2 linked regions of the Xenopus tropicalis genome follow. The protein of the gene in region 1 binds, or shares a complex with, the protein of each later gene. Links are inferred from orthologs where the notes say so. Each region holds a gene or a part of one and is shown on either strand. Other genes may lie near its edges. The genes, in order: por and hmox1.

Region 1 (6,598 bases):
CATATACAATTACTTAAACTTTCCATTCAGCACTCACATTCTCCCTACCTTCTCACCATGTAATTGTGTAGCCAGTGCATGGGCCTGGGCATCAGGTCCCCCATTCTGGCACATACACAAGATTTTGGTGTGATACAAAGCTTGCCTTACTAACAGTGCCCACAAAATGGCAGCTGCCTGCTGGCTGTGATTGTATATTTCCAAGACTGAAGGAAACAAAATGTATATAATTTATATAGTATGTGAAGTTAATTTTGCTTAACAAACACAAGAGAAAAGAAATTGTAATTATTTCTTAGAGTTACAGGTCCCCTTTAATATATGAAAAAGTGCAAAATGCTTTTTGATCTTTTAACTTTGGATATAATCTGCAGTACCTTTATTCAGAAAAGCTTGGAGCTTAATACATGCCCTTCTAATCAATTGTGTTCTAATTTTTAATGACCTTAATTTGCCTTTGTACATGCAAATCTGTTACACTTATGTCTCGGTAGTCTGATCTTGTTTGTTGTCTCTTGCTGCATCTTTAACCAATTAGTACATTCCTCATAATCCAAAGCATCAGAGCTATGTATGTTCAAGGCTGATTGAAAACAGCCCTTACAGACAGTCATTAGGCTTTCGTATTCTCTGCTGTGAGAAAGAAACGCTCAGATGCAAAGTTAATGAGTGGAGCTGCATTCCCAAGATTCATTCATAGCAACCGCTTATACTAGTGAAAAGCCAGACGAGTTGGTGACAAATTGATTTGCAATACTAACTGGGAAGGCTGTATCCTATCAAAGCTTTTTAAGGATTGTATTGTTCTTGGCTAAAGGAACTAAATCCTGGGGGAAAAATGTAAGCCTTGCTTTGTAATTTTATCAAAGGTCTTGCATAGATATCTTTTGTATACATTGCTGAAATGAATGTGTTGTATACCTTTTATTGTTATTGACAGCAGGTCTTATTTAGCATTTACCCCATACCTCTTGCCGTTTATATAGTGTAGAGATCAGCCTTCTGAGTAGTGACTGTTGATATCCTTTTGGAGAAGATTTTTATCCAGAGTTGAATAATACAGTACTGGTGGATTTGTAAGGTGGAGTCCTAACTTGCTCTTTGAACTTCTAATATATCTTACTACAAAAGCCAGTACCTTGCTAGCTTATTTATAGTTCATTATTTATGGATGCCCAGCCACACTGACTATATCTGTGTCATCCACTATTTAAACATACTGGAGAATTGAAGGCATTCAGACTCTAGAAGGCCAAGATGTGCACATGAGGCCTATATAAAAGATTAATCTATGCTCACTTTTTTCTCCCCTGCAGACAGATCTCAGTCGTCTCACAGAAATTGAGAACGCTCTTGCTGTTTTCTGCATGGCCACTTATGGTGAAGGTGATCCTACAGATAATGCTCAGGATTTCTATGACTGGCTTCAGGAAACAGACATTGACCTTGCAGGACTTAAGTATGCAGTGAGTAATGTTAGCACTCTCAGGCAAGCACAATTTAAAATGTTCATAGTAAAATAGCATTTATCAGTCTCTCTAAATGCATTTGTTCATTATCTGTTGGATAAGGAATACATGTATTAATTGTTGATAAAAGGTGTTAGTTCATTAGTAGTGATTTTAGTTCTGCTATTTTAGTTCAGTGCAAGGTATATGTTGAAAGCCTGCATTAGGTTCTGGTATTTCTTTAATCTGTTATGGATACACATAATTATAGATTGGTGCTAAACTTTGGGTTTTTTTTCTTTAATGTTTTGTAGGTTTTTGGCCTTGGCAACAAGACATATGAGCACTTTAATGCCATGGGAAAATATGTTGACAAAAGACTTGAAGAATTAGGAGCTGAGCGCATTTTTGAGCTTGGAATGGGAGACGATGATGGCAAGTAAGTAGAAAAAAAAAAGAGGCATGAAACATTTCTACCTTTCTCAAAACATCTCTTGATTGGTAAATGCCTAGAGCACATTGACTGAGGTTTGTTGGTACAGTGTCAACCATTATGCACCACCAAGGCTTAAGCTAGAAAGCCTTCTGTGATTTAGTAATAGTAGGGTCAAGAATCAAACTGATTACTGTACTATAACTGCTGTACTTCTGTATGTGCACACCACTGTGCGTGAAATATGCCAACCCTTTTCACTTAAACAGATGCTTTTAGTTAGTGCCTTTCCACATCAATGGTACTGCAATGCACTGTTCAAGTGACTTCTACAGTAGAGTGAAATACTTTTGTGGGCATTTTTTCAACTTACATTATAGTAGCTGGTTTTGCAAACCTGTTAATTTACCAAGAAGAGATGGATCTTGATAGGGCCTGCATTAGTCTGTTCCTTACTCAGGAGGCTTCTCCTATCAAAATCCTCCTTGTTTAGGGTACTTTCTGTCTTTTTGCAATGATGTTACTGTGCTGGGCTCAACGGAAAGCACAGTGCTTATGGAACCTCTGTAGTACTCATGAAATATCTAAATATTTCTGGATAGCTTTACTGTGAATATTCACTTAATTTTATACTTGCTTTCTAAAACAAACCATGATATATATTTCTAAATTTTACTCAGCCTGGAAGAAGACTTTATCACATGGAGGGAGCAGTTCTGGCCTGCAGTTTGTGAACACTTTGGAGTTGAGGCAACTGGAGAAGATTCCAGGTATGCAACTGTCTGTACCAGCCCTGAAAAAATTCAGAAATATGCTGTGCATCTTTGTTATTGCTTATTTATCCATCTATGGCTCTAGTAATTGTAACTGGAATTAGAAAGTGTATATCATAAGCTGGGCTGTGGAGTCGGTAGATACATTCTCCGACTCCTCAGTTTCTGATACTTCCGACTCCTCTGTTTTTAATATGCTAATGTATTTTATACATCCAGGAAGGGGCACTTAAAACACAACTGAACTGATAATAAACTGATAGACAATTTTATCTATACTCCTAATGATTTCCCTAGAATCCCATAGTCATGTTTAAAGGAACAGTAACACCAAAAAATGAAAGTGTATAAAAATAATTAATATATTATATACTATTGCTCTGCACTGGTAAAAGTTGTGTGATTTCTTCATAAACACTACTGCAGTTTATATAAATACCCTGCTGTGTAGCCATGGGGGCAGCCATTTAAATTGAAAAAAGGAGAAAAGGCACAGGTTACATAAGAAGATACCAGATAAACTGTGTAGAATACAATGGGAATCTGCTACTTATCTGTTATCAGTGCAGGGCAACAGTACATTATATTTTAATTTATTTTAAAACATTATTTTTTAGTGTTACTGTTCCTTTAAGCTAACCTTACAGCTGTATTACAGCAGTTTTTCAAATGTTTTAAAACTTCAGTCTTAAACTATTGACTATCCATCCATTCCCTTCACGTATACAAGTATTTCTAGTCCTGCAATTTTTTTTTTACTTAATTAGTTATCAGTGAGAGTTAGGCTAGGTTCCCAGTGGGCATTGTGCTCCCTGTAACAGAGGAACACGACGCAGTGGAGCTGCCGCACCTTAACTGTGTGTTACGTCCCATTTAGTGAAGCATATAGTCAATGAAAAGCTTCATGGTCACTCAACGTGTTCGTTTATGCACTGTGTGCATTGGGCTTTATTCTTATAGCAGAGAAGTAATTAATTATGACTGTTTGTGAATTGGGACATTTAAACTTGCTTTATTTTTTTTTATTTTTTTTATTCCCATTTAAATTTAGTCGGAGTCGGTTCATTTTTTTCCGACTCCAGGTACCCAAAATTGACTCCAACTCCTCGACTCCGACTCCACAGCCCTGATCATAAGCATATGTTATTTTTTTATATTGTTGTTTTTTATGTAACCTAATTCAAATACAGTAGTAAAAATGTATGGGCTAGGTTGTTAGTGATGAGCAGATCTGTTCTGTTTTGCTTTGCTAAAAAAACATGGCAAGGAAGTTGTCTCTAGATTTCTTTCTATGAAACCGGTAGGTGACTAGTAAAATTAAGGGTTTAGAACAGTCTGGTTCATTAGTAGTCAGATTTAAATTATCCTAAATGCCACCCACTTGCTTAGTTTCATTTATAAATTAAACCATCAAACTCTAATATTTGTTTGACCTTTAGCATTCGTCAATATGAACTTGTGGTGCACACAGATGAGAATATGAACAAGGTGTACACAGGAGAGATGGGTCGACTAAAGAGCTATGAAACTCAAAAACCGTAAGTAGTCCAGGCCTGGATGAGTTCTTGAACAATCAGAATATCTAAGGCTATTGTGATACTAATATCTACAGTTAGTATTAGTGGTTGTATATATAGTTTATGTATGTGGGTGTATAGATTGGTGGGTGTGGGTTGTGTGTGCTGGGTTTACTTGGATGGGTTGAACTTGATGGACTCTGGTCTTTTTTCAGCCCTATGTAACTATGTAAGATACTGTACAACCCCTGCTGCTTTTGATGACAAATTTTGATGACAAAAAAGTGCATTTTGAACACTCTGACCGCTAGGGTCTGGTTCAAAACTCACATTTTAATGTGTGCCTTCATAAAATTCTTTAAGATGGAATCTGTGCAGTGGCAGTAAAGGCATTCAGCGGTTTAACTTACATTTTTTTTTATCCTTGTTGCAGACCTTTTGATGCTAAAAATCCTTTTCTGGCTAATGCAACAGTTAACCGCAAACTTAATGAGGGTGGAGACCGACATTTCATGCATTTGGAACTAGATATCACTGGCTCAAAGATAAGGTAATGTGGGACTATTGTGGGTCTATAGTGATTTTTCTGTATGCCTAGGCATTTTTATCTGTACCAACAATCCTCATGAGCGTATACCATAATTCATTGAGGTTCAATGACATTTACATTGCATTTTTGCTCTGAAAATGTCTTGTTTGCCATAAATTGAAGAACTACCAGTCTTTACTTTTGCAGTTTATGGTAGCTTTTATTTAAGTGGAATGAAACCTAAAACTTCCCATACACTTCTTTATAAAGGGAAGCAATTTCATGTTAATTCTCAGTCTTTGCCTTCTCTGAAACTTCTTCTTCTCAGTAGCAGATCATTTACCACTTATGTTTTAAATTTAAAATGTACTACCTTGTATTTCAATAGAACTTTGTCAAGTGAACATGTTTTTACAAGATGTATTCTGTTCCTGTTTTGTTCTCTCTGTACCTTAGTACATTGAACTGTAAATTGTTGTACAACTTCTATACATATAATGTGGAAATGTGTACTTAATAATGACAGGGTTTAGCCAGGAAACTGATATTTCACATATGTGAGGGATATGTTAGGGACACGTTTACAAAATACAGGTAGAGGGCCACATTTAAAGTGATACCGACACTTAAAATTAAAGTATTTTTTAAATATACCTTAACATTGTTGTTTGCGGGAGCTTTATAATTTTGCCAAACATGTACTTCCTGGTGCTTTTACATTACCTAACAGATTCTCCCCCCCCCCCCCCAAGTTTGTCTGAGGGGGCCGCCATATTTGTGCAGCAGTAGTCAGTAGCTATAACTGACAGGTTGAGTAAGGACAGTCGAGTTTAGGAACTACAAGTAACAATTATTTACAAAAGCAGCCCTATCAGTGAAAATCGATCATCATGTTCTGTAGGTAACTTTTGTGTACATTAATTATTTCAAGTGTTTTTTAGTGCCAGTACCACTTTAATGCTGGCCACCAGCACAGAGCAGGAATGCAGTTGTTAAGCCAAACATGCACATGAAATATATTTATTAGAGGGCCAGGAAGCATGTTGGGTGGTTGGATCTCCCTAAAAAGGTTTGAGAATCACTAAGCTTGGATGTGTTCTTGATAATTACCTTGCAAATGGTCAACAGTTTGGGCTCTGTTATGCATTTTTTGAAGCACACAGTGGCTTAGGATTCCCTGAATATTGTAAATATGTAGCTTTCTCTATCAGGGAGCACTTTGTCCAGTTCACCAGGAACGTGTGTTCTGCATGACTAAGCAGAAACCAGCTAATAAAGACTTTGGCTCTTGATGCTTATATCGGCAAATAGTGATGAAATGAACGTAGCCGGTCTGTACAAGCAGAAAGTGCACTTGCTCATCTGAAAACCCCCAAGCTTTTAAAGTGATACACATTCTCATAAAAACCATAAACAGGTCACTTTACAAATGTGACAACTAATTGTGTCTCTTGGAAATAATTTCCCCCAATTTGTACTTGCTAAACCTTAGATATGAGTCGGGAGATCATGTGGCTGTGTACCCAGCAAATGATGCTGCGCTCGTAAACAAGTTGGGAGAGATCCTGGGAGCAGACCTTGAAACTGTGATTTCTCTGAACAACCTGGATGGTGAGTTCTACCAACTGCTTGTGGTTTGTCTCACCCAGTCTGACACATTTAACACTACATTAGAAGCCAGTTCACAAAATGATATTGTAGTAAAAATATACATTATTCTTGAAGTCATAGTACCATGAAGGTGCTGCAACATTTTGATTGCTCCCAAATCCAGGAAATTTTTCTACCATCTACATTGCTCCCAAATTTTGCAGGCATTTTGTCTGCATCGCTGCTCTGCTTTCAAATTATTGTGCAGCAAAAAAAATTTGCATTGGTCTTGGTTTTAATCAAATGTG
Region 2 (7,272 bases), on another chromosome or scaffold:
ACAGCAGTACCTCTAGCATTTTGCCAGAAGCCACTTAAGTTGGTAGCTTATCTGCCCATGTATGTAGCCCTGCTCAATATTCTGTCGAATCGTGTGAAAGCATCTCTCAATAGGTCTGCATAGGCCTTCACTATGAGCCAATCATTGGGCTAGGGGCAAAACAATTGGATGAGTCTGATGTGGCCAAAATCAGGAAAATATCCTCTCGTTTGACAACGAAGGGTTTTTCACAGTGAGGGCAGTGAGGTTGGGGAATGCCCTTCCTAGTGAAGGAAAGGTAAAAACTAAGTAATCTTTATCAGAAAGGTCTATGTAAATACAGCCATAAGCACTTACAGTAATGCTGCACTGAGTCCTCTATCAAAAGAAACACAGGATTTCTTGTCCCTTTTTTTAGTAAACATGATGTTCCAGTGTCTGACTTCCTACCTCAGAAACATTCTTAATTCCCATGGCCAGAGTCTGCACAGCTCTCTCCTCTCTCCTGCTCCCCCTCCCACTAGAGTGCTTAGAACTCCCTCCCCCCTCCCTGTGAATGTGTGATCTCAGCTATAACGGCTAGACTGCAGAAAGGAAGCTACTTAAAATGGCAGCTGTTATCTTAAGCAAGCTTAAAGCTTCTAAAGCTGTTTACTCAGGTATGGTATCAGTTTCTGTAGAATAAATATTTTGTTCTAGTTGGCACTAATTTGGCAAATCTATTGGCAGTAAAATGCCAAAATGAATTTCCTTCTTCTTTAAGGGGTGATATGCTAACTGTATAATTATATAACAGGATCATATAAAAATATCTCTAATGCTTTATTTACCAGTCCTTACAACTGACATGAGGGCACCCATTTTGATTAGAAGAAAGGAGGTTCTGTCTAAATATCCCGAAAGGGTTTTTAATGTGAGATACGTGAAGTTGTGGAATTCTCTCCAGTTGTACTGGCAGATACATTATATAGCTTCAAGAAGGAGTTGGATGGCTTTTTAGAAAGTGAGGAAATACAGGCTTATGGAAGATAGCTCATAGTACAAGTTTACCCAGGGACTGGTCTGATTTTGCCTCGCCCTGGATCAACTAGCAGTTAGGCAGGTTATGTATAGGCATTATGGTTGAACGTAATTGACGTGTGTCTTTTTTCTACATTACTATGTTATATACGAGTGTATAGATAGGTCTGTATAAGTATATATATTAGGGATGCCCCAAACCCAGTTTTTTGGGTTCGGCTGAATGCCCCAATCCCTGTTAAGGGATTTGGCTGAATACTGAACCAGATCCGAATCCTAATTAGAGTGGATTGGATTCAGTTCGGCCAGGACTGTAGGCCGAATACCGAACCAAATGCTGGATTCGGTGCATCCTTAATATATATGCACTGGGGTTCACTTAGAGGGGTTGAATTTGTAATTTTTTCAACCCATCTTAACTATGTAACTATGGTACATGTGCTGTTTGCCTAAGGCAACAATTAGCATGTAGCATTTATAGGTCATATAGGTTATAAGAGAAAACACACAATACTGAAGAGAGAAAAATGGGGTTGGGGAAATAACCATTCATATCTTTTAAATCATTCTCAGTTTTTTAATAGGCAGGGATTTCAACCAGTACTTTCTGTCTCTTAGATTTATAAATAATTTTTGGCATAACTAAGGACATGGTTGGGGCATAATAGGGAAAAGGATTTGAGGCTGGTCATATAATTACCTGTTGAAAAAAAATCCCTGGGAAATGTACATCCCAGGAATGTAGCTCTAGCTACAGGCAAAAGAAAGCCAAATTCACTTCCCCAGGTAGGTACTCCTTTTTCTGTAAAAAAAAACACACCAGCTAAATGTTAGAAAATGCCACATCATGATTTCAGCTCCATTTTATTCACTGATCCCTATCAAATTGGCACCCCAGTGAATAATGCCTTCCTTGTTCTTTAAGACTATCTTTAAAATGCATAATGAACAACATTTTAAAAATATATATTTTGTAAATTTTCCTTTTCAAAGTTATTGCTCCATAAAGCCAGTCATGCATTATAACGTAAAACAAGGCAAACCCAAAAGAGTGCATCAGTTATTTAGCAGAAAGCCAGATTGCACTGCTGAGTCATGTTTACCCTCTCCAGCTCCATGTTGAGATTTTGCTGTGTCATGGTCATATGCTGTGTGTGTGTGGTTGGTGGGGGGGGGGGGCTGTGAGGGAGGGGGGTGAGGAAGTGAAAGCACAGCCAGCTGGAAGCTTCATGAAGCAGTGAGAAAGAACTGCATTGTGCAAAAGGCATCTATCTATTAGTCACCGACAACGCGCAGTTCTTGGTATAGATTACTTTTGTTTGTTCTCTTCTGTATCATGTCTGTGACAAGTATCGCATTTTTGTTCATGAATGTGATGTGACAAGTGTTTAGGCCTGCCAATATTGTAAGGTAATCAATTCTATTAGTCAGCACATAGTGAAATGGAACCAATAACAAACTGTTACCATTGTTACATTGTGCACACACTGGGTGGATTACTCCAGTGTGCAACGTCTGTGCACTGCTTGTCATGCCACTTGCTCATGTGCCCAGAGTGCAAACAGATGCCAGAATAACAGGCTAATTGCAAAATAATCCTACACTGGGGCTGTGGCTCTACAACACTATTCTGTGTTTTATTTCTGGTCCTGATCCAGACCCAGGGCAAATATATGAACAAGTATATGAACAGATGCTGCTTCTGACTAGTGGAGTAATGGGAAGAGGGGGCAGTGAGATTCAGGAAAGTACAAAAAATGGTCTTTTCTCCTTCAGGGGCCCAAGCGACAACAAGAAATTTACAAGTGGAAACATGGCTGGGGGGGGGGGGGGGGCAAGCTATGAACCTGCCTTTGACTGTCACATGTGCAACCTTTCAGGCATCCTGATGCTACAGTGGTTTTTCAAGATCTGCCAGATAGTTACATCTCTGCTTTACTTTTAGTCAAAACCTTTAAGGGCCCTTGTTAATCCTCACACCCAGAACTGTTGTCTCTGCAATTTATACACCCTTCTTGTCCTTGCATGTTGTAAATGAAAACTTAACAAATTATGGTAAAAATGATGTGGCTGCAGGAGGAAGCGCAACCAAAGTTTAAAGTGAAAGTTTAAATGTGAGCTGCTGCTGTACCCACCTTCACTGGTAAATATACTTTTTTCTGTGCTGATGTTTTGTTCTGCTGTTTTGTCTTTATCATTTTGAATCCAAAATCATGTGAATCTGAAAAATGAACACATCCTGTTATGTTCCCCTCACCCCTGCCCCCCTCTACTTTGCTCCTCTTCCCCCCACCCCCTCCCTCCTGGAGGAAACACTCACTCAGCTTCTTTTTTTTTTTTTTTTTTGTCCTACAGCCACGTGATCCTAGAAGGGAAACAAGAGGCATATAAAAAGGGAGCAGCTTTGACTCAGTAACTAAACAGCCAGCGGCTTGGAACATTAAGCTAGAAGTTGCACACAAAGGAAAAAGAGATGGATTCTTCTGCTAGCCAACAACTCAAAAGGTACCACCTTAATACTCATTACCTTGTCTAAATGCCTGAAATATATTATGTAGAATTAGATATCTGTGTTCTGTCCATTCACAGGCATTCGCACATATATTGTTTTACCACCAAATTCTGAGTTAAACATATATATGCTCCTATTAAGGCTTAAAAGTAATATGCATATGCTGGGAGGGTGGGAAAAATACTAAAACACATCACATATTTGCTCCATCTATTCAACATCTTATCTTAACAAGCCCAGAGCTTGTAAAGTAGTACGGAAAACAGCTACTAGGAAACTGTGATTAGGACTGCAGGTATAGTATAAGTAACAGCAATACTGTATATGGTTGCTTTATATAAATAACATGGCATCACAGAATGTGCCCCATGCCCTGTACATTACCGTATATTTGTGAGAGACAGGTCATTTTTCATACATGCAAGCTGACATCCACACACAAGTGATATTGACTTGTGATAAAAAATTTTTGGTAGTGTTTTAAGCAATGGACCGGTCTCATAATTTGCTTAATACCATGTGTTCTCTAGTTACAGCTTGTTAATATGAATACACGCAATATGATAAATATGTAGCAGATGGCAATGTAAAATCTCCTTTAAGCCCCGAGAGCTTGAGTCCCTCATCGAAACAGACAAGCACTAATGGCATTGGCCTAAATTGCTATTTTATCACTAGAAGGAGGACAGCCCAGCCCTTACCAACTGCTGTTATACTGTAATGATGATATGCTTTTACTTCAATTAAGATTAACTAACCTAAAAAACAGTTCTCTGAGCTCTGTATTTTAGGAAAAACAATGAAACCAAAGTATAATAACCAATCTAATGTAATTTTCAATCTGCTAACCGGTAAATTCTACATACTTATTGCTCAGTATGATTCACAAGACCAGTTGCAAACGTTACACCTTTTGATATATTACTCATGCCACATGTCTCAGGGGAGACTGTACTGTTTGTTTAGCTTACAGCAGTCATATTTGTTTGCTTATATGTAGCCTTGCAAGGCCATATTCAAACATTTTAACATGTTTTGCATAAGCTTTAAAGCTCTAGCAGGGGTGTCAAACTCAATCACATAAGGGGGCAGAAATCTAAAATACAGGCTAAGTCACAGGTCAAATTTTTTATTAAGATACTTGGTAGTAGAAGCATAGATCCATCTCAGTCACAGCGCAGTCAGGCGATTGGTGCTGCACAGTCAGGCACAGTTACTATGGGCCACATAAAACAGCCAGGCAGGCCGTATTTGGCCCACGGGCCTTGTGTTTGACACATGTGATCTAGAAGTTTTACTAGCAGCAATAAGTCAAACAATGTTTAACTTATACAACAGTTCTCAAATGATTGTTCACAATGTTTATGCTGCTTTCTTTCTTTTAAAATCAAGGAATCAAGGTGGTTTCAAAACACATCAGTTAATAGCACTTCTCCAGCAGAATCCTGCATTGAAATCAGTTTTTTAAAAATGGAAACATATTTTTTTTATATATAATTTTGAAATTTCACGTGGGGCTAGCCATATGCTTCATTTCCCACAGTGCTACAGCCATGTGACCTGTGCTCTGATAAACTTCAGTCACACTTTACTGCTGAGTGGAAAGTTGGAGTGATATCACCCACCTCCCAGCAGCCAATCAGTAGAACAATGGGAAGGGAGCAAGATAGCTGCTCCCAGAAGATATAGTAAGAAATCCAAATCAGGCACAGTGGACTAAGATGGCGCCTACACACCAATATTACAGCTAAAAAAATAAATTTGTGGTTCAAGAATAACATTTTAAATGGTAGAGTGAATTATTTGCTATGTAAACAGTGTAATTTAGAAATAACAAGTACACCATAAAAATCACAACAGTATCCCTTTAAACTGCAAAGCCAAATATGACCAAAGGTCACTGGCCTACAAGCTACTAAGGGAATAGCCCGCCTCATGCGTCCCTTCTGTCCATAGTCCAAACAGTTAGATGAGAGCAATCTGTCCACCCTCACACGTCTCAAATGCACAAAGCATTAGTTAATTCCTTTAGTGCCAATGGAAGTGCCATCCTAATGCTAATCAGATATGTTACTCTAACTAGGAGAGATACATTAAATGTGAAAATTAACCCATATTATTTAAAATATAAATATGTTGACTTTTCATATTATGGGCTTTATTAGGAAACAACGTATACTGTGATTTGTTATAGTTTTCTTAATACATCACATTCAAGACTTGCTTGCGCATTTTCTAACAGATGGCCTTACATTAAGTCAGGCATAACAAATTTTTTTTATATCTCTTTGGAAACAGTGGATTAATTTACCTCTTGTTCTTTTTTTTTAGTTCCCTTAAAGACTTGTCTGAGGCCTTAAAAGAGGCGACAAAGGAGGTCCATGTTCAGGCAGAAAACACAGAGTTCATGAGGAACTTCCAGAAAGGACAAGTTTCCCTAGAGGAGTTCAAGGTACTGTATAAAGCTGAATTTCTACATGGAGGGACACGTATACAACTTCAGATGTTCAAACATTAGTACTAGGTGATACTTTATTTGGATTAACAGTTTATTTTTCAAGTTTATGAGACTGACACTCTCTTTAAAGTAAAAGTGGTACTGAAGAATTAGTGATCAGTGCACCTTTGGCCTGAAACCCAGGGATATCCTCTTGTTAGTTCTGTAAAAAAAAATTATCACCAAATACTACAGTATATACCTAAATTAATATGGTTATGTTCTACCTATGGCTCTCCAGGATAAAATGTAACCATGTGTTTAGAACATCAACAATTGTGTACGTTTCACATGAATTTCAGCATACATTCAGAATATTGCTATGTAGTAGTATACTGGGGTCAAGTATGCGATTTCCCACAGTTTTGTGTGCTGTCATACAACTTTTACATCCACCGTTTTTACATTTTTCCCCATTTAACATTGTTTTTTGGGGGGTCTCGCCAATATATAATGCATTTCCCTGATTTTACATTGTCCCAGATTTTACACCACTTTTTCTAGTCCTCTGATAAAATGTAAACTGGTAGTTCTATTGTAATACTAATTTAAAGGCTGACAATTACAAAATACATAAATATTAATTGTGGCATTTTTTATGTTTCCAGCTGGTCATGTCCTCGTTGTACTTCATCTATGAAGCTCTGGAGGAAGAGATTAATAGAAATAAGGACAATCCAGTCTTTTCTCCTGTTTATTTCCCCATGGAACTCCATCGTAAAAATGCCCTAGAAGAAGACCTTGAGTATTTCTATGGTCCGCAATGGAGGAAGAAAATTATTTGTCCTCGTTCAACAAAAAATTATGTTGACAGACTTCACCAGGTTGGGCAAAATGAGCCAGAGCTGCTAGTGTCTCATGCCTATACCCGTTATTTAGGAGACCTCTCGGGCGGACAGGTTCTTAAAAAAATTGCCCAAAAGGCCCTGCAGCTTCCAGCCAGTGGTGAAGGTTTAGCATTTTTTACTTTTGACAATGTCACTAATGCAACTAAATTTAAACAGCTTTACCGTTCCCGTATGAACTCCATTGAAATGAATACACATAACATGAATAGGATATTAGAGGAAGCTAAGACAGCATTCCTGCTTAATATCAAGGTAAGAGGCTAAAATATTTAAATATTATTTAATTAAAATACAACAGTTGGAAGTAACTGCTATTCTGTGTAAAATCTACAGTGCTGATATGCAGGTTCTTCTGTGTCAGCTGTGTAGATTGTACATTCTATGGCACACAAATTGTTAAACATTAAAATGCTGCC

What was found.
Region 2: the proteins of por (region 1) and hmox1 are in contact, whole or in part, in a crystal structure (PDB 3WKT), measured with the Rattus norvegicus proteins. The link is inferred for Xenopus tropicalis from reciprocal best matches to the Homo sapiens genes POR and HMOX1. Residues at the interface, in NP_113764.1 of Rattus norvegicus: Thr88, Thr177, Asp208, Asp209, Arg313, Arg514, Lys515, Gln517, Arg519, Leu520, Phe522, Lys523, His626, Lys665, Met667, Thr668, Lys669, Gly670, Tyr672; in NP_036712.1 of Rattus norvegicus: Asp12, Ser14, Glu15, Gln38, Ala75, Pro76, Glu81, Lys149, Ile150, Lys153, Ser171, Asp173, Asn174, Thr176, Lys177, Phe178, Lys179, Gln180, Leu181, Arg183, Ala184, Arg185, Asn187, Thr188.

What each region holds. Positions count from the first base shown.
Region 1 is NC_030678.2:93,775,242-93,781,839, reverse strand, and holds part of por (NADPH--cytochrome P450 reductase), read left to right. Parts: intron 1-1,316; coding exon 1,317-1,466; intron 1,467-1,762; coding exon 1,763-1,887; intron 1,888-2,561; coding exon 2,562-2,651; intron 2,652-4,093; coding exon 4,094-4,192; intron 4,193-4,604; coding exon 4,605-4,721; intron 4,722-6,192; coding exon 6,193-6,311; intron 6,312-6,598. UniProt on the Homo sapiens protein: This enzyme is required for electron transfer from NADP to cytochrome P450 in microsomes. It can also provide electron transfer to heme oxygenase and cytochrome B5.
Region 2 is NC_030680.2:115,577,086-115,584,357, forward strand, and holds the start of hmox1 (heme oxygenase 1), read left to right. Parts: upstream 1-3,382; 5' UTR 3,383-3,472; coding exon 3,473-3,504; intron 3,505-5,842; coding exon 5,843-5,963; intron 5,964-6,616; coding exon 6,617-7,108; intron 7,109-7,272.